7 linked regions of the Xenopus tropicalis genome follow. The main gene of each other region encodes a partner of the protein of the gene in region 6 in a complex. Links are inferred from orthologs where the notes say so. Each region holds a gene or a part of one and is shown on either strand. Other genes may lie near its edges.

What was found.
Region 1: gpkow (region 6) and dhx16 share a complex: the UniProt entries of both Homo sapiens proteins name them as parts of the minor spliceosome. The link is inferred for Xenopus tropicalis from reciprocal best matches to the Homo sapiens genes GPKOW and DHX16.
Region 2: gpkow (region 6) and scnm1 share a complex: the UniProt entries of both Homo sapiens proteins name them as parts of the minor spliceosome. The link is inferred for Xenopus tropicalis from reciprocal best matches to the Homo sapiens genes GPKOW and SCNM1.
Region 3: gpkow (region 6) and rnf113a share a complex: the UniProt entries of both Homo sapiens proteins name them as parts of the minor spliceosome. The link is inferred for Xenopus tropicalis from reciprocal best matches to the Homo sapiens genes GPKOW and RNF113A.
Region 4: gpkow (region 6) and cwc15 share a complex: the UniProt entries of both Homo sapiens proteins name them as parts of the minor spliceosome. The link is inferred for Xenopus tropicalis from reciprocal best matches to the Homo sapiens genes GPKOW and CWC15.
Region 5: gpkow (region 6) and sf3b2 share a complex: the UniProt entries of both Homo sapiens proteins name them as parts of the minor spliceosome. The link is inferred for Xenopus tropicalis from reciprocal best matches to the Homo sapiens genes GPKOW and SF3B2.
Region 7: gpkow (region 6) and snrpd2 share a complex: the UniProt entries of both Homo sapiens proteins name them as parts of the minor spliceosome. The link is inferred for Xenopus tropicalis from reciprocal best matches to the Homo sapiens genes GPKOW and SNRPD2.

Annotation. Positions count from the first base shown.
Region 1 is NC_030684.2:75,482,073-75,485,667, reverse strand, and holds part of dhx16 (putative pre-mRNA-splicing factor ATP-dependent RNA helicase DHX16), read left to right. Parts: coding exon 1-33; intron 34-206; coding exon 207-417; intron 418-524; coding exon 525-623; intron 624-948; coding exon 949-1,101; intron 1,102-1,985; coding exon 1,986-2,126; intron 2,127-3,595. UniProt on the Homo sapiens protein: Required for pre-mRNA splicing as a component of the spliceosome. Contributes to pre-mRNA splicing after spliceosome formation and prior to the first transesterification reaction.
Region 2 is NC_030684.2:137,908,955-137,913,243, reverse strand, and holds the start of scnm1 (sodium channel modifier 1), read right to left. Parts: upstream 2,804-4,289; 5' UTR 2,709-2,803; coding exon 2,658-2,708; intron 1,812-2,657; coding exon 1,741-1,811; intron 1,618-1,740; coding exon 1,529-1,617; intron 972-1,528; coding exon 874-971; intron 1-873. Other genes in the region: lysmd1 (lysM and putative peptidoglycan-binding domain-containing protein 1), read left to right, coding at 3,219-3,389. UniProt on the Homo sapiens protein: As a component of the minor spliceosome, involved in the splicing of U12-type introns in pre-mRNAs. Plays a role in the regulation of primary cilia length and Hedgehog signaling.
Region 3 is NC_030677.2:156,458,451-156,462,514, forward strand, and holds the start of rnf113a (RING finger protein 113A), read left to right. Parts: upstream 1-1,245; 5' UTR 1,246-1,263; coding exon 1,264-1,354; intron 1,355-2,232; coding exon 2,233-2,306; intron 2,307-2,633; coding exon 2,634-2,741; intron 2,742-2,982; coding exon 2,983-3,090; intron 3,091-3,624; coding exon 3,625-3,734; intron 3,735-3,858; coding exon 3,859-3,965; intron 3,966-4,064. Other genes in the region: noc4l (nucleolar complex protein 4 homolog), read right to left, coding at 1,001-1,147. UniProt on the Homo sapiens protein: Required for pre-mRNA splicing as component of the spliceosome. As a component of the minor spliceosome, involved in the splicing of U12-type introns in pre-mRNAs. E3 ubiquitin-protein ligase that catalyzes the transfer of ubiquitin onto target proteins.
Region 4 is NC_030678.2:164,535,034-164,539,262, reverse strand, and holds the start of cwc15 (protein CWC15 homolog), read left to right. Parts: upstream 1-1,361; 5' UTR 1,362-1,396; intron 1,397-2,863; 5' UTR 2,864-2,874; coding exon 2,875-3,005; intron 3,006-4,229. UniProt on the Homo sapiens protein: Involved in pre-mRNA splicing as component of the spliceosome. Component of the PRP19-CDC5L complex that forms an integral part of the spliceosome and is required for activating pre-mRNA splicing.
Region 5 is NC_030680.2:40,081,451-40,085,326, forward strand, and holds the end of sf3b2 (splicing factor 3B subunit 2), read right to left. Parts: coding exon 3,845-3,876; intron 3,233-3,844; coding exon 3,090-3,232; intron 2,589-3,089; coding exon 2,487-2,588; intron 2,159-2,486; coding exon 2,059-2,158; intron 1,795-2,058; coding exon 1,609-1,794; intron 694-1,608; coding exon 622-693; 3' UTR 551-621; downstream 1-550. UniProt on the Homo sapiens protein: Component of the 17S U2 SnRNP complex of the spliceosome, a large ribonucleoprotein complex that removes introns from transcribed pre-mRNAs.
Region 6 is NC_030684.2:23,990,618-23,994,846, reverse strand, and holds the start of gpkow (G-patch domain and KOW motifs-containing protein), read right to left. Parts: upstream 2,868-4,229; 5' UTR 2,840-2,867; coding exon 2,634-2,839; intron 1-2,633. UniProt on the Homo sapiens protein: RNA-binding protein involved in pre-mRNA splicing. As a component of the minor spliceosome, involved in the splicing of U12-type introns in pre-mRNAs.
Region 7 is NC_030684.2:70,386,115-70,390,327, forward strand, and holds the start of snrpd2 (small nuclear ribonucleoprotein Sm D2), read right to left. Parts: upstream 2,894-4,213; 5' UTR 2,823-2,893; coding exon 2,821-2,822; intron 1-2,820. UniProt on the Homo sapiens protein: Plays a role in pre-mRNA splicing as a core component of the spliceosomal U1, U2, U4 and U5 small nuclear ribonucleoproteins (snRNPs), the building blocks of the spliceosome.

The sequences.
Region 1 (3,595 bases), about 51 Mb from region 6:
ATTTCTCACTGAGCCTGATCTGGCATCTTACAGGTATCCATTATGCAATCTCTGGATTTGTATGTATTTAGGCAGGGGACTTCTGTTACATATGAATACATCATGCCTCATACAGAATCTTTAGAAAAATTAATTCATTTGTACAGCGACCAGCCTGTATTCTGTATTACTCTCTCCATTTCCTTATCATTTTTTTTTTCCACAAGTGTAATAATAATAGATGAAGCTCATGAAAGGACTTTGCACACAGATGTTCTTTTTGGCCTCATTAAAGACATTGCCCGTTTCCGCCAAGACCTCAAAGTTCTGGTAGCCAGTGCCACCCTAAACACAGAGCGATTTTCCTCCTTTTTTGATGATGCCCCAGTGTTTCGTATTCCTGGGCGCCGGTATCCAGTGGATATATATTACACCAAGGTAAATCACTGTAGGTTTGACACGAGAATTGACATTGGCAGCATTATTGATGAGATTGGGCATTTTATGTTTATTTCCTTTTTTGATGAATGATATTTTCACAACAGGCTCCTGAAGCAGATTACTTGGAGGCCTGTGTGGTGTCAGTGTTGCAGATTCATGTTACCCAGCCACCAGGAGACATCTTAGTCTTTCTTACAGGACAGGTATGTAGGCAGAAGTGGGAATGTGCTAACCAACAAATATATACGTTTTGGTATTTAAAAAAAAAAAAAAAAAAAAAAAAAGTTTGAAAAGTCACTGACCTTAGGTTAATGTGATATGGGATTATTTGACTGCCTAGATAGAAGTCCCTTCCAGTTAACATCTGTAGGAAATGCAAAAAAAAAAGCTCATGCTAAATAGTGGCAGTGTGAATTTTGTATGTGCAATAACCCTTTGTTAGGTTTATCATTTAATGTAAATGTACTGATGTTATAAGCAGTGCCACTGCTATGCAGTCTTGGTACATGTACATTTCATATGTTGCAGGAGGAGATAGAAACATGCTGTGAGATGCTACAAGAGCGATGTCGTCGACTAGGATCCAAGATTGCAGAGATGCTGGTGTTACCAATATATGCTAATTTGCCTTCTGACATGCAGGCAAAGATCTTTGAACCTACACCTCCAGGAGCAAGAAAAGTATGAGAGTCTAGCTGGTTTTCTTGTACTTATTAAATAGTAAAGTCTGACTCCCACCCTTCTGCCGGACCTAAACATCTAAAATGACGTGTCTGGACATCATCTTGTAGTGTAACCCAATTATGTAGAGAGAGAAATAACTAAACTAAATGCTTAGCACACCCTTTAAGAATAGCACAGACAAAAGATGCTATAAGTTATTCCCTTACATTGTGTGTTTCAGAGAGAAGGGAATTGTGGTACTACTTCTTCCTATAAGGAGTCTGAGGCAAATACCATATGCAGTATTGGGCTGCCCTTCTAAACCTGAGCTGTATAAACTGATGTAACTACCAGTAACTACCCTAAACTGGCACTCCAACGATGTTTTATTATGAATTGCTTCCAGACTCTCCCACAGGACCTACATGGCCTCTAGTAATGTGATTAAGTGTACACAATAGCTACATATGAGGTCTTATTAAATATAGAAAACCTACAATGTGTTCATTAAGGCATGTTAATAAATACACATTATAAAGTATAAAAATGACTGAAACCATTCTAAAGCTGGTATTATATGACTGTGGTACTAACAGAGCATTTCCTTGTATCCAACCCTTGTATATCTGTATAACTGTATGACACTCCCAACCAGTTTAGTTACCATAAGGTTGTCTTTAAAGAAGAGTTCTTATTAATTTGCAAACATACAGGGGTGCCACCCTCAAAGCAGGCTATTCCACATATATATTTTGCAGCTGTATCTGTCATATATAGTGCTTAAATGTTAGGCAGAGCGTCTCAGGGCATGACATTTCCTCTTCCTATTCAAACATGCTGGAGTAGTAGGTTAGAAGGAGTTATGAACCTTTTAGCATTGTCGTATTTTCTTTTTTTTTCAGGTTGTGATAGCCACTAACATTGCTGAAACATCACTTACAATTGATGGAATTATATATGTTATTGACCCAGGTTTCTGCAAGCAGAAAAGTTACAATGCTCGATCAGGAATGGAGTCCCTCATTGTGACTCCCTGCTCAAAGGTAAGTCTTACTAATCTGTTGAACCAATGCTGTCCATCATTTTCAGTGTAGAAGTTTTCAGGCAGATTTTTTTTTATAGATTTAAAAAAATAAAAAAAAAAAGTCTATGGCATACTTGGGCAGACATAGGGTCAAAAAATCTTTGGTACCACAATTGGACAGCTTTAGTTCACCTCCTGCAAGATTTTCAGCCTAACATTAATTTATAACTGCAGAATAGCCCTTAATTTAATAATCAATGAGAAATGCTTTCAAAACAATAAGGGTAAACCCTTATAATGAGGTGTTAGTACCACACTTTGGCCAAAATATGTAAGCTCTTGTGCCACGTCAAGGCCCCTCATTGTACGCGAGTCCTACACTGTCTAATGACTTTGAGTCTGTGATGCAATTAAAATCAAGTCCCCCAGCAAACAATGTGACTGAGTAGTAAGACCCTGTTGCACCTACCTTTAGCTCAAAAAGGCTCTAGTGGAAAAGCAGGGAACTTTTAAGCCCCAGCTCATTAGCACACACATGAAAGTGATTCATTGGTTTAAAGGCTACATAGCAGCTAGAAGCAAAATTTGGCTACAATTTGTACACAAAACACAGAAAGAAATCGCCAGCGCTCGGTCTAACCCACGCTGTAGCGTTGACCAGCTGCTAGAAACACCCTTGTGCCAGCGCTCGGTCTAGCCCACATTCTGGAGTTGACCAGCTGCTAGAAACTATAAAAAGCCATTAATTATACACAAAGAGAAAGAAAGATTGCCAGCACTTAGTTTGCCTTTAAAAATAATTTTTACAAAAAATGAGGTGTTAGTACCACACTTTGGCCAAAATATGTAAGCTCACGTGCCATGTCAAGGCCCCTCATTGTACGCGAGTCCTACACTGTCTAATGACTTTGCTGGGGGACTTAATTTTAATTGTATCACAGACTCAGTGTGACTGAGTAGTAAGACCCTGTTGCACCTACCCTTAGCTCAAAAGGGCTCTAGTGGAAAAGCAGGGAACTTTTAAGCCCCAGCTCATTAGCACACACATGAAAGTGATTCATTGGTTTAAAGGCTACATAGCAGCTAAAAGCAAAATTTGGTTACAATTTGTACACAAAACACAGAAAGAAATCGCCAGCGCTCGGTCTAACCCACGCTGTAGCGTTGACCAGCTGCTAGAAACACCCTTGTGCGCTGGCAATCTTTCTTTCTCTTTGTGTATAATTAATCGCTTTTTATCGTTTCTAGCAGCTGGTCAACTCCAGAATGTGGGCTAGCCCGAGCGCTGGCACAAGGGTGTTTCTAGCAGCTGGTCAACGCTACAGCGTGGGTTAGACCGAGCACTGGCGATTTCTTTCTGTGTTTTGGTAAACCCTTATAATGTCAGCCTCGTCTTGCCAATATTAAAACTAGGCCTTAAAGGGGCGGTTTGCCTCTAAGATAACGTTTATAGATACATTTTAGAATGTCCTACTCCTAGCACCTTTA
Region 2 (4,289 bases), about 110 Mb from region 6:
AGCAAATAAAAAAAAGTTACTCAAAACTATGGCAGCATAGGGATTCCCCTGTACTAAGCACAATTCAGCAGGAACAGCCCCCTAAGTTTGCTCATAGCCTGTACAGAGAGATACCATAAAACTATGGCACATAGGGATTCCCCTGTACTAAGCACAATTCAGCAGGAACAGCCCCCTAAGTTTGCTCATAGCCTGTACAGAGAGATACCATAAAACTATGGCACATAGGGATTCTCCTGTACTAAGCACAATTCAGCAGGAACAGCCCCCTAAGTTTGCTCATAGCCTGTACAGAGAGATACCATAAAACTATGGCAGCATAGGGATTCCCCTGTACTAAGCACAATTCAGCAGGAACAGCCCCCTAAGTTTGCTCATAGCCTGTACAGAGAGATACCATAAAACTATGGCACATAGGGATTCCCCTGTACTAAGCACAATTCAGCAGGAACAGCCCATTAAGTTTGCTCATAGCCTGTACAGAGAGATACCATAAAACTATGGCACATAGGGATTCCCCTGTACTAAGCACAATTCAGCAGGAACAGCCCCCTAAGTTTGCTCATAGCCTGTACAGAGAGATACCATAAAACTATGGCACATAGGGATTCCCCTGTACTAAGCACAATTCAGCAGGAACAGCCCCCTAAGTTTGCTCATAGCCTGTACAGAGAGATACCATAAAACTATGGCACATAGGGATTCCCCTGTACTAAGCGCAATTCAGCAGGAACAACCCCCTAAGTTTGCTCATAGCCTGTACAGAGAGATACCATAAAACTATGGCACATAGGGATTCCCCTGTACTAAGCACAATTCAGCAGGAACAGCCCCCTAATAGCCAATAGCCTGGAGAAAGAGAAATCTGCCCACCTGTTCTCCTGCATCTTCTGCCTGTACAAAATCAAAATGGCGCCTCTTCTGGATCTCATTGTTATGCTCCAGCTTCTTGCCGTAATACCGCTGCTGACCTGTAGGAGAGTTGAGAGGGAGTCAGCGGCCCATTGCACAAATATGTATTATAGACATGTGACCAGTCATTAAAGGGGATGTTCACCTTTGAGTTAACTTTTAGTATGATATAGAGAATATTCTAAGACAATCTGCAATTGGTCTTCATTTTTTATTATTTGCAGTTTTCCGCAGCTATGTGGTTGCTAGGGTTCAAACTACCTTAGCAACCAGGCAGCAGAATGAATGAGAAACTGGTATATGAACAGAAGAGGGCCTGTATAGAAAGATAATGGGGGAGGAGACAGAATAAAACCTGGTATTGGGGCAGAGACCAGTAGCTACAGGCTCCACATTAAAATGGCATACAGGAAATGAAGTCATAACAGGAAGTTAAGTCACAAAGTCAGACAGGAAGTTATAAATACAAAAATAAATAATTAATAAATCAACAGGGGAACATCCCTAGGCAAGTCTTCGGATCCGCAAATGCCAGACAGGACGTTATGTCAGAAATCTGGAGAGGAAATGAAGTCATAAGACAGGAAATGGATCTCTTTTCTAGTCAGTAACTTACCGGCTAAGTGCTTCTTCCCGCTTCTGTGCACAGACAACATATCGATGGTACTGAAGACGGGCCGGTGATGGCACACGGTGCAAGCGTAGCTGTTATATACACAACACAGTTACACAGAGGGATAGGCAGGGGCCCCGGAATATAAGGGTATATAGAAGCAAGCCCTCCCAGGGGCCCACACCGAGGGAACCAATCAGTGGAGAGACCCTTACCTGCCATTTTTAAGAAGCAAAGCCTCATCCTCCGGGATGTAACTGGCCAGCAGATCCGCCACTCGCCTCTTCTGTAGGGAGACAGGAAATGGGATATTAAATTAACCCTTCCCCCTTACAACTGCACCCTACTCTGCCACAGGCACCCTACCCACACCCCAAACCAAAACCACAGACACCTTACCCTTCCCCACCCACAGGCACCCTACTCTTCCTTACCCCCACCCACAGGCACCCTACTCTTCCTTACCCCCACCCACAGGCACCCTACTCTTCCTTACCCCCACCCACACGCACCCTACCCTTCCCTACCCCCACGCGCCCTACCCTTCCCTACCCCCACCCCCAGGCACCCTACCCTTCCCTACCCCCACCCCCAGGCACCCTACCCTTCCCTACCCCCACCCCCAGGCACCCTACTCTTCCTTACCCCCACCCACAGGCACCCTACTCTTCCTTACCCCCACCCACAGGCACCCTACTCTTCCTTACCCCCACGCGCCCTACCCTTCCCTACCCCCACGCGCCCTACCCTTCCCTACCCCCACGCGCCCTACCCTTCCCTACCCCCACCCCCAGGCACCCTACCCTTCCTTACCCCCACCCCCAGGCACCCTACTCTTCCTTACCCCCACCCACAGGCACCCTACCCTTCCCTACCCCCACGCGCCCTACCCTTCCCTACCCCCACCCCCAGGCACCCTACTCTTCCTTACCCCCACCCCCAGGCACCCTACTCTTCCTTACCCCCACCCACAGGCACCCTACCCCACCCACCCACAGACACCCTACCCTTCCCCCCACCCCCAGGCACCCTACCTTTCCCTACCCCACCCTTCCCCCCACCTCTAGACACCATACCCTACCCTTCCCCCCCCAGACACCCTCCCCTCCCCTGTATGGGTATCACCCCGTACCTTTAGAACGTTCAGCTGGCTCAGATCATCCCCATCCCGTTTAAACGACATAGCCCAGCCTGTAGCGCCCCCTTTGAGAGCTGTAACCCTGCGCGGCCACCGTACTCCTTTCTGCGGCCTTACGGGAAATGTAGTTTATTTCCGGAGAGGAGGAGGCGGAGTCCGGGCATTATGGGACTTGTAGTTCCGTGAGAGCCGCGAATCCTGGGGCAGAGCCTGTGCTGCACTACTGCTCCCGGCATGCCTTGCTCCTGTCACCCCTGCCCAGCAGTGAGCTGTGTATTATTGGGTACTTGCCTGTGCTGGGCAGCTGGAAGGGCTGTGGGTCTGTGCTGGGGGTATTGGGGCAGCTTTTAGCCCAGCCCAACCCCCTTGGGCAAACCCCTGTCAGTGCTGTCATGTGATACTAATGAATTCTCCCTTTTTCTTTCAGTCTGATTGAATTAGTAGCCCAGCATGTGACTGAGGGCTGCAGGGACTCCATCTCTGCCTCCACTTCTGCCTCCACCTCTGCCCAGTCAGACAATGTATAGTTAACTTGCCCTTTAGAGCTCACAAGCCATGGCATCCAACTCTGGGCACAGAGACTCTGGGCTTCTCCATGGAACCAGGACCCGTTCCTATGGCAGCCTAGTCCAGTCGCCCTATTCACCGGCCCGGATCCGCAAACTGGAGCACCAGGTCCAGCCCGGGGACACACTGCAGGGCTTGGCACTCAGATACGGCGTCACGGTGAGTACGGTACCTTCCTATTATAGGGTGTAGGGTGCTGGGAGTTGCAGTTTAGCAACAGCTGGAGACCCCTTGTGTATAACTGGTAATATCTAACAGCTGTTAGTCTCATATGCCCTTTGTACAGTTCTCTACTCCCCCCCCCAGGGGACATGCCTTACCTGCCCCACCCTAGAACCAACCCCCCAGGATGTTATCAGGAAGGCATTGGGTTCAGATACAGCCGGTGGGCCTGATAAACATGAAGGGAAATGAAAATATGGTGAATTTGGTGCACGACACTGTCAGGGCACATTCAGTCCTTATACAAAGTCTCCATTCTCTGGGTATCCGGGATCAGGCTGCATCCTGGTTCTCTTCCTATCTCTCTAACCGCTCCTTCTCTGTCGCTCTTACTAACCAATCCCCTACCCCGGTTCTGCTTAGTGTGGGGGCTCAGCTCAGTGTGGGGGTTCAGCTCAGTGTGGGGCCCTTTGCTTGGCCCTTTGCTGTTCTCCCTGTACACTCTCTCTTTAGGAGACCTTATTTCTTCTTTTGGTCTTAAATATCACTTCTCCTCCTTTCACCATGACTATTGATGGCATGACCGTTAACCCTGTTAATTCTGCACGCTGCCTTGGGGTTATCTGCCATTTTTCCTCTGCAATATTGCCAAGATACGCCCCTTTCTTTCACAAGTAACAGCTAAAACACTAATCCATGCCCTTATCCTTTCTCGCTTAGATTACTGCAATCTCCTACTAACCAGCCTCCCAGACTCCCACCTCTCTTCCCTACAATCTGTCTTCAAAGAGGGAAGCTCTGCCGGGTACATGGGTAGAGTCATTAGCAGTGGGCAAGGCTGGCAGGGTACTGGGTACATGGGCAGAGGGATTAGCAGTGGGTAAGGCTGGCAGGGTA
Region 3 (4,064 bases), on a different chromosome or scaffold from region 6:
TTCCGAGAAGGGAACCACTATCAAGTAAGAGATTTAACGACACATTAGCTTGCATGCAAGTATCTAGAGAATTTTTAAAGACCTCTAAGTTGCTCTCAGGAGTACATAGACTGTGATTACTATGGGGAGGAATATACAAGCTGTTACAGACCAAACAATAATCACAAGGGAACAGTTCCTGTGTGACTGATTCTATACCGTAATATAGGAGAACTGAAACTCGCAAACACATTTGTTGTTCTGTTTATGGAGGGGGTGAAAATGTGTGGTAATCGGAAAAGTGAGAGTCAGAAGGTTGCGGGGGATAAAGGGGAAAGTTAGGAAAAGTGTGAGATCAAAACAGAAGGTCCTGAATGAAAGGGCAGCGGAGGTAATAGGGAAAGCAAATGAGAAAAGACAAGAGGTTAGAAAGAATCTTTCATGGAATTGTCGTTGCTACTAGAATTTTCCTCTCCCATTACCCACAACTATGTATTCATGCCATTCTGTTTTCCCTGCACCACCCAGTGCTGATTCTGACTGCCAACAATTCGGCCTGATGTACCAGCAGTTCCACTCTTTTCAGACCTGAGCATTCAATCTTAGCTCTGCCCACCGCTGTCACGCCTTGCCCACCTGGCCCTGTCTGTAGGCTGCAGTCTTTTCTAAATAAATATTCAGACAGGATCTTTCTTGCTGATTAATAATAACATCAATTATACGTTGAGTAGGCTGGTAACCTTAGCAATCTGATATGTTACCCTCGCTAAAAGCTCTCTCTCTCTGCAAAAATGTAATTTTTCACATTTCCTTTTTTCCCTAATGGCCATCTCCCATCTGTCTTTTTCTATCACTGGTTGCCGAGCCCTGTTATAAGAACTTTAAAATACTTCCAGTCACACTGTTTAGACGTGCATACTGTCACACAAAATGTTGTGTTTCTGTTTCGTGCAAAAGATGTTCTTCTTTGTCAGGGCTGCTGTTATACTGTTTGCTAGCACACTGCAAAGCGGGCACTCACCTCCAGATGTTCCAGAATATCAAACACCGCGTTGGCATTGGTTCTACTTCCCAGTACTGCTGCGAGTTTGCTATCCAAATCGTGGCGCTCGGCATCACTTTGCTTGGCAAAGCTCGAACTCACACGTTTCGCTTTGCGCGCTGCCATCTTGCTACTGGAGCAACGCGACTTCCCCCCGGTAATGCGCCTGCGTGCGCTTTCTAAACAGGAAGTGGCCTCAGCCAATGCGCGCAATCTGGAGCTAGTCTGGCGTCACAGGAATAATGGCGGACTCTAACGCACCAGTTTGCAGTTTCGTGTTTAAAAAAAGTGCCCGAAAGTTCGCGGGACGGAAACGCAAAGAATCGGACAATGGTGAGACAAGGAGAAAGTGGGAGTGCAAATAAATGTTTATTATAATATAGTATTATAGGCATTACACGCTTACCGTGTATAAAATTCAGCAAAGTGTTGGGATGGAGTAAATGAGTTAAATGCAGAAGAGAGCGCAGATACAACTAATTGCGCAAGTGTTGTTGCTGTTAGCAACCAATAAGGTTTTTGCTTTTATTTTCAAACGTGTATATTGGCCAACTATTCGACTTTGTTCCTTACTCAAAACCACTATCTTAAAGGAGATGCAGGTGAGGGTGGCTGTATTGTTTGCTGGATATAATTACCATTAGAAATCAGTAGCATGTACCAGGGAATTAAGGTCCAAATGACAAAACAAAAATCAAACCCATCAAAGTATTTGCAAAACATTAACAACAACAAATATAATTATACATACAGCCTCATTTACTGTTCATTGGTACAGGTATGGGACCTGTTATCCAGAATGCTCAGGGCCTGGGGTTTTCCTGATAAGGGGTCTTTCTGTAATTTGGATCTCCATAACTTTAGTTTGTTAAAAATCATTTAAATATTGAATAGGATTGTTTTGTCTCCAATAAGGATTAATTATATCTTAGTTGGGAATCAAGTACAAGATACTGTTTTATTATTACAGAGAAAAAGGAAATCATTTCTAAAAATGTGAATTATTTGATTAAAATGGAGACTATAGGAGATCCGTAATTTGGAACTTTCTGGATACAGGTTTCCGGATAAGGGATCCCATACCTTTATGTCACTGGGCTCACATGCATTTGGTGTCTTAAATTTATCGAATTTCAGAATAGTACTTAGATGCATCTGTTGTATAAGTGTGTTGTACTATTCTGATCAGTCCTTTACTGATTTGTTTGCAGAGAGCAGCGAGGAAGAGAAAGGTCCAGTGATAAGGAGGATAAAGAAGGATGTGGTTAATCCCATGATTCAGAAGGTTAGAGTCACAGGTATTCACTATGTCACCCTGAGGCCCCAGGAGCATTAAGGAGCTTTATAAAATTTTCTGCCAGTTAATCTTTCAGAGTGGGCAGCAACACTTCTCCCAGATATTTCCTGTAGACCTCTCTGTTTAGAGATATAGATACCACATCATCTTCTCCTGGCAGCTAATGGCTGAATGGAAGCACAACACATGCCATAACCCTCTCCAGCCTGTCACCCTGTGTGCAGGACAGACGTTAACATGCCACAGAAGGGATGTGTGTAGTGTTTGTCCTCTTGAGCTTTCTGGTAGTTGTATTTACCTCTGTGTGTGATTTAGAGCAGGCAGCAACCAAAGGACTGTGAAGATTACAAAGCAAGCAGCAGTGAAGATGAGGACAAAACAGCGAAGTCTATCACTGTGTCTTATAAATCTACCCGATCTGCGGTAAGAGACTCTTTTGGAATTGGCTTATTCTTAGCACAGGCTTTATGTCATAAATGTTAAAATCTTTGAAACCCATCATCAGTTAGTTCTTTGTGATATTTTATTCAGTTTGTGAATCAGCCTATGCTGTCTGTCTTGTTTCAATATAAATGATGCATTGAAAAAAAATCTGTATTTATAGAATGACATGTCTAAGACACCCCCCATTTCTTACTATGTATGCATTCTTTGTTTCTTGCAGAAACCAGTAGGGCCAGATGACATGGGAGCCACAGCTACATATGAACTAGACACTGAAAAAGACAAGGATGCTCAGGCAATTTTTGAGAGGAGCCAGAAAGTACAGGAAGTGAGTATTTAGTATGTGATGCAGTGGATTATATATTCACCTTAAACTATGAGAGAACCACTAAAGCAGAGAACCCCAACCTTTCTTACTCATGAGCCACAATCAAATGTAAAAAGACTTGGAGAGCAACACAAGTGCCATAAAAGTTTGTGGAGGTGCCAAATAAGATAGGTAGCCTCTATGCACACCATCAGCTTACGAGGCTTTATTTGTTAGCAAATCTTGTTTTTATTCAACCTAAACTTGCCACCAAGTCAAGAATTCAAAAATGAGCACCTGCTTTGGGGGCAGTGAGAGCAACATCCAAGGGGTTGGTGAGCAACATGTTGCCCCCGAGCCAATGGTTGGGGATCACTAAGGAATGCAATAAGTGTTAGTAAAGCATGCAGTGTTCTGCATGACTTACATGCAGTTTCTTTAAAAATTCTGTGCTTTTTTTCTCTTCACTTTACTTTCTTTAATATTGTAATACTCTCCTTTTCATAGATGACACTCTGTTTAGTTCCCACTATTTATTTTGCTTTAATCTGACAGGAGTTGAAGGGGAAGGAAGATGACAAGATCTATCGAGGAATCCACAACTACCAGAAGTTTGTGAAACCCAAAGATACCTCTATGGGCAATGCATCCTCTGGCATGGTTAGGTACGTGTACCCCTCCCACTTTCCATTCTGTTTTAATTTAGAAACATTTCACTTTTCAATCAACTGGGTGATTAAATCCTAATAGTTTAGTCTGCATTGATAACTTTAACTTTTATCATTTTAGGAAAGGACCAATACGTGCCCCAGAGCACCTCAGAGCCACAGTACGTTGGGATTACCAGCCAGATATTTGCAAAGATTACAAGGAGACTGGGTTCTGTGGGTTTGGAGGTCAGTTGCTGGATTGTGTTGTACCCCTTTCCATTAAATGTCTGTTGTTCCTTTGGCCCTTTTTGCCCATATTTTATTCTCTCTTCCCTTACTATTATT
Region 4 (4,229 bases), on a different chromosome or scaffold from region 6:
TGGAGTTTCTCTTGCTCCAGATAATCTCCCGTTTGGGAATATACTGTGACCTGAGCCAGCCACTGAATTTCCCTGAGCTACGGCCAGTAATGCCGGGAGGTGATAACCTCACTGATCTCCTCGGAGGGGCCTCAAACTGCCCAACTAAATACACTATCTATCTAGTATAAATAAATTTAAAGCAACTGGACTTGTTTGGTAACAAACAAGTCCAGTTGCTTTAGGGCTCTGGCACATGGGGCGATTAGTCGCCCGCGACAAATCTCCCTGTTCGTGGGTGACTAATCTCCCCGAGTTGCCATCAGTTGCCATCCCACCGGCGAACATGTAAGTCGCCGGTGGGATGGCACACGCGGCGCGATTTCGGCAAGTCGCCGAAAATGCCTCGCGAGGCAACTGCGCAGCGTGTACCATCCTTACATGCTCGCCGGTGGGATGGTAGTTCAGGGAGATTAGTTGCCCGTGACAAGGGAGATTTGTTGCGGGTGACTAATCTCCCCTTGTGCCAGAGCCCTTACATTTATTTATACTAGATATACCATGACCTGGATGAATGAAAATCTTCATAGACATACACTATCTATCCTTTCACTCCTAGAGTGACAATAAAATGTCTAACTGGCTCCTGTAGCTAACCTCTTAGAGAGGTGAAGTCCCAGGAAGAAGACCTCATGGTTTGTGAGTCCATTCCCTTTTATATTGCAGAACACCACCACCTAGTGGTCACTGCTGAACTGCAGAGGAAACTCTCTTTTAATCTGGAAAGAATAATTATAATAATATAATAATTAAAGATGAATTAAAAAGTTAAAAAAAAAATTGTAGATGTTTATGTAAAGTTGGGGGGAACACAGGTCAAAAAATTTCATAACGGTAATGATGCTTCATTGTTATTTGTATATGACAATAAACTAGAAACTATAGCACACACACAATTAGGACCACCCTTAGGTCCATATCCCACAAGGCCACCCACTGGTATGCCTGTCTAAAGGGGAACCCAGGCACAGGGGCCCAAATCTTGGGGTCCCTACATAAAAATTATTAAAAAGAATTAATGAATAACAAAAAAGGGCAACTAATTTAGTAAAGAGAAATCTCAGTTATGAAAAATGACTGCTCGGAAATGTTCTTATGTAAACCAACACAGAGAAGTCAGAAGCCCTGCACAGTGTTATATAATATTCTCCCTTTACCGCACATACACCCCCTGATTCATTACATAGCCACAACAAACATGGCCGCCGACGGCTTCCAATCAGCTGGAACGCCCTCTTGCTTACGTGACGCGTACTCCGAGCGCCGGAAGTTTCCCGGTGGAAAGAACTAGCGCGACGGGTAATTGTGACGCCAGTCGCCGTGGGATTTGGTGCTGGGGCTGAGGCGCTGTTACGGGGTGAGCGAAATCGCACCTTTGGGAAGAGGGGAATTCAGGCTGAACGGCAGCGATTATTTTAGTCATAGGGGATTGAGGCCCTCTAGGAGCAATATATCGCCCCCCACTATCCCTGTTGGCTGGGGAAGCTTACAGCTCGGCTTTATCTACTTAGCAATACTGTACCCTCCTGCCCAGTCTGTGAGTCCCCTGCTAATGTAAGGGAACTCGGCTGGTTAAGCCTATGGCCAGCAATATCAACTTGAGGGACAATTGAAAGTACAGGCATGGGATCCCTTATCTGGAAACCTGTTATCCAGAACGTTCCAAGTTACAGAAAGGCCATCTCCCATAGACTCCATTTTAATCAAATAATTCAAATTTTTAAAAATGATTCCCTTTTCTCTGTAATAATAAAACAGTACCTGTACTTGATCCCAACTAAGATATAATTACCCCTTATTGGAGCAGAACAGCCCTATTGGGTTTATTTAATGGTTAAATGATTCCCTTTTCTCTGTAATAATAAAACAGTACCTGTACTTGATCCCAACTAAGATATAATTACCCCTTATTGGGGCAGAACAGCCCTATTGGGTTTATTTAATGGTTAAATGATTCCCTTTTCTCTGTAATAATAAAACAGTACCTGTACTTGATCCCAACTAAGATATAATTACCCCTTATTGGGGGCAGAACAGCCCTATTGGGTTTATTTAATGGTTAAATGATTCCCTTTTCTCTGTAATAATAAAACAGTACCTGTACTTGATCCCAACTAAGATATAATTACCCCTTATTGGGGGCAGAACAGCCCTATTGGGTTTATTTAATGGTTAAATGATTCCCTTTTCTATGTAATAATAAAACAGTACCTGTACTTGATCCCAACTAAGATATAATTACCCCTTATTGGGGGCAGAACAGCCCTATTGGGTTTATTTAATGGTTAAATGGTTCCCTTTTCTCTGTAATAATAAAACAGTACCTGTACTTGATCCCAACTAAGATATAATTACCCCTTATTGGGGGCAGAACAGCCCTATTGGGTTTATTTAATGGTTAAATGATTCCCTTTTCTCTGTAATAATAAAACAGTACCTGTACTTGATCCCAACTAAGATATAATTACCCCTTATTGGGGGCAGAACAGTCCTGTTGGGTTTATTTCATGGTTAAATGATTCCCTTTTCTCTGTAATAATAAAACAGTACCTGTACTTGATCCCAACTAAGATATAATTACCCCTTACTGGGGCAGAATAAGCCTATTGGGTTTATTCAATATTTGAATGATTTTTACCAGACATAAGGTAGGAGATCCCTTATCTGGTCACGAGCATTCTGGATAACAGGTCCCATACCTGTAGTATCATTCTGCCTTTCCTGTGCTCTGCGCTGCTGCTTCTGACTCCTGAAGCTGTGTAGAAAAAGTCAGCTTATGAAAGTAGGAATTTTAAAACAGTTCTTGTATTTGTGTGTGAAACAGTTGTGTAAAAGATGACAACCGCGGCCAGGCCAACGTTTGAACCAGCAAGAGGCGGCAGAGGTAAAGGGGAAGCCGATCTCAGTCAGCTCTCAAAGCAGTATTCCAGCAGAGACCTCCCCTCTCACACTAAGATCAAATACAGGTATGTGAGTGGCTAAGGCATGTAAGATATTTGTTCTGTAGTCCTTAACATGGCACAGTGAATTATGTTGGTCATTAAAGGGGAAGTATATCCCCCTTTTCAAGATTATTTCACTTGTGCTTGTGTTGAACATTCTTTTTGTTATTATTTACAAACCATTATGAGACACCTCTGTATATGGGTGAAGACACACGGAGCTACTAGTAGCAGCTACTTGTCACGGCTACTAAAATAGACAGTGCTGATCATTTACTGATAATTGTCTCTAAATTGTGTGTTTTAGCAGAGGCAATTCTCAGTATTGTCTGTGGCAGGGGATTTTCTGGCGTTTAGTAGCCGTGACAAATAGCTGCTACTAAGTACCATGTGTCTTCATCCTAATACCTGTTCCTTATCACAGAGCCTAATGACTAAAGGCTGCCCCTGGGGGAAGGGAGGGGTTTGTTTATACAGTGGACTTTTCGTATGTATATATTTATTAAGCGGTACTTATGTACGCAGCGCTGTACAGTAGAATACATTAATACAAACAGGAGGTTATTAAAATAATAGATAAATACAAAGTATAACAATAAATACAGATAAATACAAGATACAGTTGCAATAAGTTAAGAGTCAAAGACACAAGAGGATGGAGGTCCCTGCCCCGTAGAGCATACAGTCTAGATGGGAGGGTAACTTACAGACACAAATAGGCAAATATAAGTGCTGTAGGTCACAGTGGGTGACATTACAATATAAGTGCCAGTTCCCAGATCAGGTGCTGGGTGAGTGCTCCAAAAGTTAGTCTTTAAGTTTAGTTTTAAGAACACTGGGGAGGATTTTCTTCGGAGGAAATCTGGGAGGGCATTCCAAATATAAGGGGCAGCAAGTTGGGAAACTGCAGTAGTAGTGGGGGGGGGGCGTAACCAAGCAGTTACTCTGCGAGGAACAGAGGAGTCGACCAGAAATGTACGGCGACACAAGGGAAGAGATGTAGTGAGGAGCAGAGGAATGGAGGGCTTTGAAGGTTAGGAGAAGGAGTTTGTAAGATATTCTTTGTTTAATAGGAAGCCATGATAAGGACTTTAGCAGGGGAAGGGCCTGAACTCTCCTGGATGAGAGGAGGAGAATTTTGGCAGCAGTGTTTAATATAGACTGTAGTGGGGAAAGATGGGAGTTAGGGAGGGCAGTTAGCAGCAGGTTACAGTAGTCAAGTAGTCGGGATAGGATGAGAGCATGCAT
Region 5 (3,876 bases), on a different chromosome or scaffold from region 6:
GCTAGTATGGTGTTGACAATTTCCTGCCCCACGCATCACTTGTGCCAATATCAATAAAATGGATCATAGCATTATATGGCTATATATGGCTTACTTGTGAGCCACAGTCAAATGTAGAAAGACTTGGGAGAGCAACACAAGCACCATAAAAGTTAATGGAGGAGCCAAATAAAGGCTAAGATTGGCTATTAGGCAGCCTCTATGCACACTATCAGCTTACAGGGGCTTTATTTGGTAGTAAATCTTGTTTTTATTCAACCAAAACTTGCCACCAAGTCAGGAATTCAAATATAACTACCTGGTTTGGGGGCACTGAGAGCAACATCTAAGGGGTTGGTTAGCAACATGTTGCCCCCGAGCCACTGGTTGGGAATCACTGCTATGATGGACACCAGCATGGAAACTAAATTACAATGAACACCCCTAGCAATTTATCTTACCTCCTACAGTTACACCGCCATTAAATATTAAAATTTATTTAAAATTAATTCCTAAACAAACAATTACACCTATATAATAAATGTGAAAATAAAGAAAAGACCAAACCCAGTTAATTTAACAGTTTTATTAGAAATAAAAGAATGTAAAAGGAACAGAGAAAAAACTGGGTGTGGAATAGACTCAGAACTTGAACTCTTTGTATTTCTTGCCACCTGCTCGGGAATCCTGTGGTTGCCCCTTCCGCTTCTTTTGCTGGTTGTACAACGGATAAGAAAAGAGAAATAAAATGAATATATTTTATAGGTGTAACAAAGGAATGCATATATTATTATGTATATCCATAAAAATAATACAAATAAGGACACTTCACTTGCTGTGGAGTGAATATTGTAACCGAGTGGTTCCTTAACCATCGAACAGCATGAGGTTGCAGTGCTTTCATTTCATGTAACTGCTTAGTGAAGCCTAATGTACTTTATTTTTAAAAATAGTTGCATTATATCTCAATATATAGCAGGTTTGTTACACGAAATGTCAAGAGGTATGATATACAGGGAGAAAAGGAGCTGTGTTGTGTGTCTGGGAAGCATAAATGAGGACCAGCTCCTTCTCTGAAATATTTTGTTTATATTGAAGCCAGGAGTTTGGGTCCATCTTTCTAATCAGTGGTGAAAATGCTACGGATTATCTGCCCTATGGCAAGAAAATGCTACTGATTATCTGCCCTATGGCAGGAAAATGCTACCTGTCTGGACTCGTAAAGTTTATTGTAAAGGAGAAATAAAGGTTTGGGGCTGTACTCCATAGCTTGGGCTAGGGCCCCTAGTTCCCATGAAAGCAAACCTTAACACTATAGCATATTATGACATTTTAGACAATGCCAAGATTCCAGGAGTTTGGGAAAGGCTTTAATACTGTTTTAGCCCAATGATGCACTAAGCACAACTTTTGTTCAACCCAGAACTCATTTGCTGAGATGGGAGTAAAGGAACTTAAACGGTCTGAACAGTGTCCTGACCTCAAGCTAACAGAATACCTGTGGGATGAAGCAGACTGTAACATAGGTCTAATAGTCACTAATGTTTTGGGATAATCTCTTACTTGTAAAAACTAACACTACAGATGCATATACATATATTTATTTTGGGTTGTACAATTTCAACATACCTTTTGTTTCGCTGCATGCTCTGCCACCATGTCACTAAAGTCTTCTTTCTGTACCTGCTCCTGAGCTTCCCTTACACGTTCCTCATATTTCTGAGTCATTGCCGACGGATCCAATTCCAATTCTTCAGGGGCCAGAGCAATTTCTACGCCCTGTGGCTCAGTGGCGGTACCTCTGCGAGACATGGCCTGTAGAAGATTTAAAAATACATTAATATCTCTTTGCCCAGAGCTAGAAGAGACTTGGTTAAATTATGTCTCCCTGTTGTTTGTTATAAGCTCACTGTTTATCCCACCCAAAATATAACCTTGTAAGTAAATCATTCCAATCTGTTCTGTACAACCACCAACTGCCTCTCAGGCGTTAATTTTTGTCCTTCCTCTAAAACTATTTTCTTTTCTCCTGTCTCCTCTGCTAATAAGATTTTGACAACATCGGGATTCCCTTCTCACCGTGGCCATATCGTAGATGTGGGTGGAGCCCATCATAGCTCCACCCACAGTAGCAGTCCTCTTTTCTGGAAGTACTGTAAAGAGTTGTGGCGTCTCCGTTCTAAGAGAAAACATTTTAAGTGAGGATTAAAAAAAAATTAAACACACAACAGGACATTTTTTGGAAAAAACACAATGTAATAGGCCATATTGCCTTTATCTATAGCTTTACAGAGAAATACAAAAAGTAAAGCTTCTTAGTGTAGGCAGCTTTGAATTACTTTACATTTCAACACCTTACACAAAAATCCTTTTGGTAATGTAGGTACTGTACCTAGTTCCATCACTCCCACGCACAAAATTACTGCTTAAATTTAGCAAAGTAATAAAAATTGTTTTTGAGTGTGGAAGACAAAAATAATAGATTTATCAGATTCAACAATTCTTACCCATCCATGGCTTCCTCAATCTTCTTTTTCCTCAGCTCAATCAGCTCAGGCGTCTCCATGCCGGCAGGGACAGAAGAAAAGCCTCCCGGGGTAATTAAACCACTGCCAGAATTAACAAAACAATAATACTTTAAAATATTAAATTAATTAAAAAAATATTAACTAAAGACTGAGCAGTTGTGACAAAAATCTCTAGTACTGTTTATATAGCTAACTACTATGTCGCTGCTTAGCTATGGGGGTTGCTAATGGTCAATAGAGCTGTAGGGCTAGTTTTTGCAAACCAGATTAGTTTTTCAGAATACTATTGGTTTTATTACCCAAATGCTAATTTAAAAAGAAAAAAAAAAGTCAAGCATCCATTGTTCTCTATGCACACATAGAACAAAAACCTCTCTCATACTGCCAATACACACTATATTGGCTGATGGTGAATAGATATAGTTATATTAGATATTGTTAAATGTTCAATTGCTGGTAGAACCTTTAAGGATTTAACAAAGATCTCAGTTTGAATACAGCCAAGAAAAGGATGACCAGAAAGACCCAAAAATTCTACTTGTACATAGCATCTATGTAAAAATATGAAAGCTAGCAGCGCACCTGTCTGCTGGGGTAATAAATCCAGTTTCATCAGGTTTATCTTCATCACTCTCATCCTCTTCTTCCTCTGAAGATGATTCATCATCGGATAGTTCCAGCTCTCCCCACGGGGTTCTGTCTATATCTTCTTCTTCATTCTTGCTCTATAGAAGCAGAAAAAAAAGTGAGAGCTGGTTTTGTATTCATGGATCTGGAGGACTTGTACAGAAATTAACACTGGCCAAAGAATACAGATTAACCCTCTGAAGGTTATGGCAGCAATTCAACATCTTTCTGCATCAAAAATTTGAATGGGGGCAAAATAAACACCCATATAAAGTATAAGCCCAATTAATAGGCCTTATGTTATATATACCCCTGAGCTACCTTTGTACTGAATGGAAGGTTTTTTTGTTCATTTTTGTTTTTGGATCTGGAATAGTACATTTTTATAGAATGCTCTCTTCGTTACCATTGCTAGGGGAATGCTCCTTTCCTAGCATTTCATTCAGGAATACATTTCTTTTTATATGCTCCCTTCAACAGAAACAATATCCATTTTGATTGTTAAACAGGAGTGTGTACTGGACCATTAAACTGAAATTTACATTTTCATTTATTTAAATTTGTTGTGAAGTAAATGATTTGCATGAAAGTAGTAGCATATTTCCACATGAAAATTGGACCCATATGATGCAAATCCAGATAAGAGAATATGTTTGGAAAAGGAAGCTGTGGAAGAAGAAGCCATAAAAGGGCAATAGATAAATACATACCTGGAAATCTGAGGCATTGGTCCCAAACACAT
Region 6 (4,229 bases):
CCATACTCTGCCTGCCCTACCCTGCCTGTCCTATGCTGCCTGTGTGTATGGCACATACAGGCAGCATATGGCAGGCAGAGTATGGCACACACAGGCAGCCTACAGTGACACAATCCTGCCACTGCTCCTACAGTCTGCACAATAACTATATATTAAAACACTTTTTTATTGCAGTACCACCACAGTATATGTTCTTTTTATAGTGTGCAGGGTCTATTTGTGGGTTTCTACTGCTCCTACAGTTGAGGTGTGAACAGGAATACAATGTGGGTGATAACAGCCTGAGCCTGAGGTGTGAACACTGCACGGGGTGAACAATGTAGGAATTAAAAGGTGTGAACAATACAGGGGGTTTACATCCTAAATCTGAGGTGTTAACCATGCAGGGGGCCAGTACTAATACCATTTAAAGCTTACAGAAAGGTAATCCATCAAAGCAGCCAGACAGGTGGGGGGGCTACACAGAGGGGGGTCGCGGGCCCACCCAGCCAGACCCTATGCAGTTGCTCTAAGGAGCAGGAAACTGTCTGGGTGGTCTGTACAGTCCCCACTGGGACAGGTGTTGAGCCCGGTGGGCGTCCCGTGTAGGGGTTAACCATTTAGGCAACAGGTAACCCTGTTCCTGGTGTCACCCGGGGTGTCAGGGCTAGGCCCTGACTGAAGGAATCCTGAAAAATCTCACTAGAGACCTGGCTGTCCATCCTCCTGGTAGGACGACACTTGAAAAACTGATGGATCGGGTACAGTGGAAGGGTAAAGCCCCACCTGGCACGTCCCTTTAATTTGTCAATCAAGTGTCTTGCCTCCTAAAAGGTGGAGCTTAACCCCATATGTCCCCGAGACGGAAGAAAAATCTATTATTCAAAGAGAAGCACATTATTATTTTGTATATTTTAGTGACACAAGCATCATTGCTACTGCTCTTTATTAAAACTAGCCCATTCAGCTGAAAGGATTATCTCCCCAGCCACATCAATATCTGACCCCTTTTGTATAACATTAAGGTGATGCTATAATATACATGCTGCTTGCAACGCAGGCCAAAGCTGTAGTAATAAAGAAGGAAGTGTTATAACAAGCATGAAACATAACAATAAATGTATTGCACATTTTCCAAAGTAATTTACCTTGCACCGAAAGGAAAAACCTCTGGAAGTGAAAATATTTTAGGCTAAGGACTACCCCACTGGCTCTCCTCTTCTTCTAAAAAATGCACCAGTATTGGGTGACTTGTGAACATAGTCATCTTCTTCTATTTTCCCACATATTCCCTACACCACCTTAAGCAAGCACCTGCAGTACACGACATTTTGCAGATATTTATGCTGCACATGTACCAAGTTCGATTACTGGGGCTGACTGGTATGAACGCACCAAATCCACTATTTTCGAAATCAGCCGAACCCCAAATCCTTAAAAGATATGGGCGAGTAACAAACTAAATCAGAATTTACATATAAAAGTTAGGGTAAGAAAGGGTTAAAGAGAACGGTCTGTGCTGCAAAAAAATTTCAGCTTCCATGTTTATGTGACAAAGAGTCACGTGGTTTTAAAGGAGAAGGAAAGGGAAAGTCACTTGGGGGTGCCAAAATGTTAGGCACCCCCAAGTGACTTGAATCGCATACCTTTTACCCCGGGCTGGTGCCCCTGTTCGGAGAGAACAGCACCAGCCCGGGGTAGCTGCAGCGCTTCCTCCGAGAAGTCGGCTTTTCACTCTACTGCGCATGCGCCTATTGTGTTAGTCTTAGCGAAATGCAGGCGGAAGCGCATCGCTGCAGGTACCCCGGGCTGGTGCTGTTTTCTCCTAACAGGGTCACCAGCCCAGGGTACGAGGTAAGCGATTTAAGTCACTTGGGGGTGCCTAACATTTTAGCACCCCCAAGTGACTTAGCCTTTCCTTCTCCTTTAAGGATTCAGTTCGGCCAGGATCATGGATTCGTCTGAATACTAATCCTGCTAAAAAAAAAAAAAGGACAAATCGTGGCCAAATCCCAAACCGAATCCTGGATTCAGCGCATCCCTAATGACCAGGAACAGGAAAACGATGTTGGTGGTGCACTGCCCAGAAGGTAGTTTCATATTTCTGTCTCTCTTTCAAATCACTGCATGGTTGCTATAGTAAATTGGACCCTAGCAACCAGACAGCTGTCAAAAATTTCAGACTTGAGAACTGCTGAACAAAAAGCTAAATAATTCAAAAATCTCAAATAATAAAGAATAAATACCAATTGTAAACAGTCTGAAAATAGCACTTTCTACATCATAGGTAAAGTTAAAGGTGAACAACCCCTTTAACAGACCTGGAGTACAGACTTCTGCTACTGCATGGTTTCAGGAGTCAGTCTATGGTCCTTCAGCTATTGCTAAACTGCAACTCCGACCGTTCCAAATACTGAAGTGAAGCTAGAGCTACATGGCAACCCATTAGCACCTCTAATATATAATATACAGTTGTATGGGTGCAGCAACAGAAATAGTAAAGAAGAGGTTAACCATGTGTACTATACACTATTATATAATAAGAGAGAAATAATACAAACCCACGCTGACTTTACAAGTAACTACAGCAGACAAACCCAAGCAGTGTTGCACTTGCCACTTTCTCCCGCAAACACTCTATATCTATATCTTACCTGAGCAACTCTTTACCCTCTGCCCCGACCAAATACTCCTTCTCGTCCTCTTCTCTCTCATCTCCATTGGCCACAAGGAATTTCTTTTTCGAACTGCGACTAAATCCAAAAGATACTGGAGCTTGCGAAGAGCCGCCAGCGGCCATTTTCTCGCTAGTAGCGCAAAGCATCCTGGGAAAGTCTACCAACACGATGAAAAGCTGCATTGTGGGAAGAGCAGGGCGTCGCAACGCATTGTGGGTATACTGGGATTTTCGTGGAGGGAACGAGGGTTATAGAACTAGCAGTTACCATGGAACGAGATTGTTTGTGTTCCTGTTCCCGAGAATGTGCATGCGTGGGTGCCTGTTCCCGAGAATGTGCATGCGTGGGTGCCTGTTCCCGAGAATGTGCATGCATGGGCGCCTGTTCCCGAGAATGTGCATGCATGGGTGCCTGTTTCAGAGAATGTGCATGCATGGGTGCCTGTTTCAGAGAATGTGCATGCATGGGTGCCTGTTTCAGCGAATGTGCATGCATGGGTGCCTGTTTCAGAGAATGTGCATGCATGGGTGCCTGTTTCAGAGAATGTGCATGCATGGGTGCCTGTTTCAGAGAATGTGCATGCATGGGCGCCTGTTTCAGAGAATGTGCATGCATGGGCGCCTGTTTCAGAGAATGTGCATGTATGGGTGCCTGTTTCAGATAATGTGCATTCATGGGTGCCTGTTTCAGACAATGTGCATTCATGGGTGCCTGTTTCAGAGAATGTGCATGCATGGGTGCCTGTTTCAGATAATGTGCATTCATGGGTGCCTGTTTTATTCTCTTATTGTGTGGGGGTAATATCTCAGCATGACATTTTATATTTCGTTATTCATGGGGATATGTCTGAACGATATCCTTACCACATGGGGTACATTTAACAAAAGCTGATGCAATGGTTCTACATGGTACTCCTAGGGTTAAGGATGTGCTGGGTGTGTCTAACCTGAGGATGAGTATGTGGCATACAGGGGGTTAAAGAGGTGTTGGGTGTGCACTACTGAAGGGTATTTAAGCAACAGGGGGGTGGGGGACTCCGTTTATTGCTTCTGATGAAGTGGCCGTGAGCCACGAAACGCGTTAAGCTGGGGAGTAACCGTTCTTCAATTATGTAATGTGTTTTTAATGGAAGCGACAAATAAAGGATAAATATTTTTATTATCACAGTAGTCCTGGCGTGCTCCATCCTACCATACCAATTTTTGTTGCCTGTTTCAGAGAATGTGTATTCATGGGTGCCTGTTTCAGACAATGTGCATTCATGGGTGCCTGTTTCAGAGAATGTGCATTCATGAGCGCCTGTTTCCTAGAATGTGTATTCATGGGTGCTTGTTTCAGAGGATGTGTATGTGGGTTCTTTTTTGCCTGTGTAAGAGAAAGTGTATGTTTTTGGGTCCATGTGTGCTTGTTTCAGAGGATGTGCATGTGGTTTCTTGTGTGCCTGTGTGAGAGAATGTGTATGTTTGTGGGTCCATGTGGCTTCTTGTGTGCCTGTGTGAGTAATCTCTGGGTGTGTCTGTGTCCATTCGTGCCAGTGTCAAAGGATGTACAGGTCCTTTTCAAAAAATTAGC
Region 7 (4,213 bases), about 46 Mb from region 6:
ATGGATCTATAAAGTGTCAACATATTTATTGGCACTGTGCAATAAAAGGGTGTATACATACAGATTATTATAACGCGCTGATACATTCTGCAGCTCTTTAGAGAGATTATAAACCATTCATGTCACTATTAGCCCCACCACAGTTTAGATTTCATTAACATACTGGTCTATGCAAGAATTGGGAATATATACAGTGGTGTGAAAAACTATTTGCCCCCTTCCTGATTTCTTATTCTTTTGCATGTTTGTCACACAAAATGTTTCTGATCATCAAACACATTTAACTATTAGTCAAAGATAACACAAGTAAACACAAAATGCAGTTTTTAAATGAGGGTTTTTATTATTTAGGGAGAAAAAAAATCCAAACCTACATGGCCCTGTGTGAAAAAGTAATTGCCCCCTGAACCTAATAACTGGTTGGGCCACCCTTAGCAGCAATAACTGCAATTGAGCGTTTGCGATAACTTGCAACGAGTCTTTTACAGCGCTCTGGAGGAATTTTGGCCCACTCATCTTTGCAGAATTGTTGTAATTCAGCTTTATTTGAGGGTTTTCTAGCATGAACCGCCTTTTTAAGGTCATGCCACAACATCTCAATAGGATTCAGGTCAGGACTTTGACTAGGCCACTCCAAAGTCTTCATTTTGTTTTTCTTCAGCCATTCAGAGGTGGATTTGCTGGTGTGTTTTGGGTCATTGTCCTGCTGCAGCACCCAAGATCGCTTCAGTTTGAGTTGACGAACAGATGACCGGACATTCTCCTTCAGGATTTTTTGGTAGACAGTAGAATTCATGGTTCCATCTATCACAGCAAGCCTTCCAGGTCCTGAAGCAGCAAAACAACCCCAGACCATCACACTACCACCACCATATTTTACGGTTGGTATGATGTTCTTTTTCTGAAATGCTGTGTTACTTTTACGCCAGATGTAACGGGACATGCACCTTCCAAAAAGTTCAACTTTTGTCTCGTCGGTCCACAAGGTATTTTCCCAAAAGTCTTGGCAATCATTGAGATGTTTTTTAGCAAAATTGAGACGAGCTTTAATGTTCTTTTTGCTTAAAAGTGGTTTGCGCCTTGGAAATCTGCCTGCAGGCCGTTTTTGCCCAGTGTCTTTCTTATGGTGGAGTCGTGAACACTGACCTTAATTGAGGCAAGTGAGGCCTGCAGTTCTTTAGATGTTGTCCTGGAGTCTTTTGTGGCCTCTCGGATGAGTTGTCTCTGCGCTCTTGGGGTAATTTTGGTCGGCCGGCCACTCCTGGGAAGGTTCACCACTGTTCCATGTTTTTGCCATTTGTGGTTCGCTGGAGTCCCAAAGCTTTAGAAATGGCTTTATAACCTTTACCAGACTGATAGATCTCAATTACTTTTGTTCTCATTTGTTCCTGAATTTCTTTGGATCTTGGCACGATGTCTAGCTTTTGAGGTGCTTTTGGTCTACTTCTCTGTGTCAGGTAGCTCCTATTTAAGTGATTTCTTGATTGAAACAGGTGTGGCAGTAATCAGGCCTGGGGGTGACTACAGAAATTGAACTCAGGTGTGATAAACCATAGTTAAGTTATTTTTTAACAAGGGGGGCAATCACTTTTTCACACAGGGCCATGTAGATTTGGAGTTTTTTTTTCTCCCTTAATAACGTAAACCTTCATTTAAAAACTGCATTTTGTGTTCAATTATGTTATCTTTGACTAATAGTTAACGGTTTTGATGAGCAGAAACATTTAAGTGTGACAAACATGCAAAAGAATAAGAAATCAGGAAGGGGGCAAATAGTTTTTCACACCACTGTACTAAATCAGATATAACACTATTTTTCTGACAACAAAACGTCTACTGGTGATTTTTTGTTTAATGGAGAATACAATTTTATTAAAAATGGGTTACCCTATTAACTGTCCATTTTGGTACGATTTTAATTACTAGGTTTAATTTTCCCCAAATAATCATGTTTAAAGCTGTTTTTACCCATCGCTATCTACTTGCTGCCTCCATGTTTTTAAAGGAGTGCCCCATAGTCAAAAACATTACTGAGCATGTGTGAAGTCCCACCCCTTATTGCTAGAGCAATTAAGCCTTAATAAACTAACAAAAAAGTCTGGGCTGAATGTGTTAAAAGGCATATTTTTCAGTCATATGCATTTTTTAAACACAAATTAGTGTTTAAGTTGACCACACAGATCTCTATAATCGTGCAAGCACATAAAGCTGCAGAATATTTCCTTTGTAGAAACTTGTCATGTGGGTCCAACCAGGAAAGATATGGAATTGATTAGAAATTGATTGAAAACATTTAGAACCATTGAAAATGTTTAAATCGTGTATACTGAATAGTTGCTTAGTATTAAAAGACACATATCGGATTTGAATTGGGCTAATAGAACCCGCACTTAGGTTGGGGGAAACAGTACCATTTTGTCCAAAAAAATGCTCATAGCGATGTGCCACCCACACCCGGATGATGGAGAACTTGCTGCAGGTAGCCATGTTATTAACATGCCTGTATATAGTGAGCAAGTGTCACATGCAATTGCATAATGAGAAAACCCGGGGAGCTGTTTATACACACGACCTGGTGCTGGTAGCCTGCAAGGGAAGCTTTTTGGCACTGCCATCTCTGCCACAGTAATTAAATCACAGAACTACACAGCATTTTCTAAGTGCAGGCAAGTTCCGGCTAGTACAATCGCATGCTCTGCTACATAGAGGCATTCGTTCTAAGCGTCAATCAGCTAAACTTAAGTAGATACAAAAGGCTAGTTTTTTTCCTTATTTTTAAGTATTTAAAGCTGGGCTGAAGATATTCCACCAGTTACTCACATCTTTCTTTTTGTCTTTCCTTTCCCTTCTCACGTTTTCCCGGCGTGTAGAACGCTTCCTTTGAAGGGCCACTTCCGCTTCCGGGCCACTTTAGCGGCTAGTTCCTGCTTGATTTGGTTAAGCCTGTAGAAACGTGCCCACGTGATCGACACGAAACAAGTTCCCTCCAGTTTGCTACGCAGAGGGGCAGCGGCGTAATCTGACAGAGAAAAGGCGGGGTGGATTAGTTAACAAAGAGGGCGCATCTAGTTCCTAGAGTGGTTATAGGACAAGGCAAATCTTATTCCAATATTGTTCCAGTATGTAAGGCAACGCTCTGTGCTGGGAATTCAGTCGCTAAAGAGCGCAATAAGAACAGTTCCATGTTTCATTTTGACCATGTTTTCTCAGATTGTGCAATTGGAGGGATATACCAGTAGGTGGCGCAATTGTTACATAATAATTATAATAGACGCTTATAACATGCTTAATAACTTTGAAACTGAAAACAAATCTGAATTGCAAAAGCATTTGGAAGACCGACCAGAAAATGTGTACACTTTTTAGTGTCCTATTGTGTAAAATAACTGAATGGATAGCTTTACTGCGTAGCAGATTTAAAGGTGTTCTTCACCTTTGAATTAACTTTTAGTATGATATAGAGCAGTGTTCCCCAAACAGTAGCTTGCGAGCAACATGTTGCTCTCCAACCCCTTGGATGTTGCTCCCAGTGGCCTCAAACCAGGTGCTCATTTTTGAATTTCTGGTAAAGGAGGCATGTTTTGCAGCCATAAAAAACAAGTATAATGCCAAACAGAACCTTCTGTAGGCTGCCAGTCCACATGGGGGCTATCAAATAGCCAATGATAGCTCTCATTGGCACCTCCAGGAACCTTTTTCATGCTTGTGTTGCTCCCAAACACTTTTTCCACTTGAATGTGGCTCACAGGTATGAAAGGTTGGGGATCCCTGATGTAGAGTGTAATATTCTGAGACAATTTGCAATTGGTCTTAATTTTTTATTTGTAGTATTTTTTTTAGTTCTTTCACTTTTTGTTCATCAGCTATCTTAGAGCTAGAGTCCAGATTACCTTAGCGACCAGGTAGCAATTTGAATGAAAGGGTGGTAAATAAATAGGAGAGGACCTGAATAGAAAAACAAGTTATAAAAAGTAACAATAACAATAAAACTGTATGCTCACCAAGCAATAGTTTTTTGGCTGCTGGGGTCAGTGACCCCTATTTGAAAGCTGGAAAGAGTTAGAAGAAAATAAAAAAATGATTCAAAACTATAAGAAATAATGAATAGGAATAGGCAATTCTATAACACACTAAAAGTTAAAGGAACAGTAACACCAAAAAATGAAAGTGTATAAAAATAATTAATATATTATGTACTATTGCTCTGCACTGG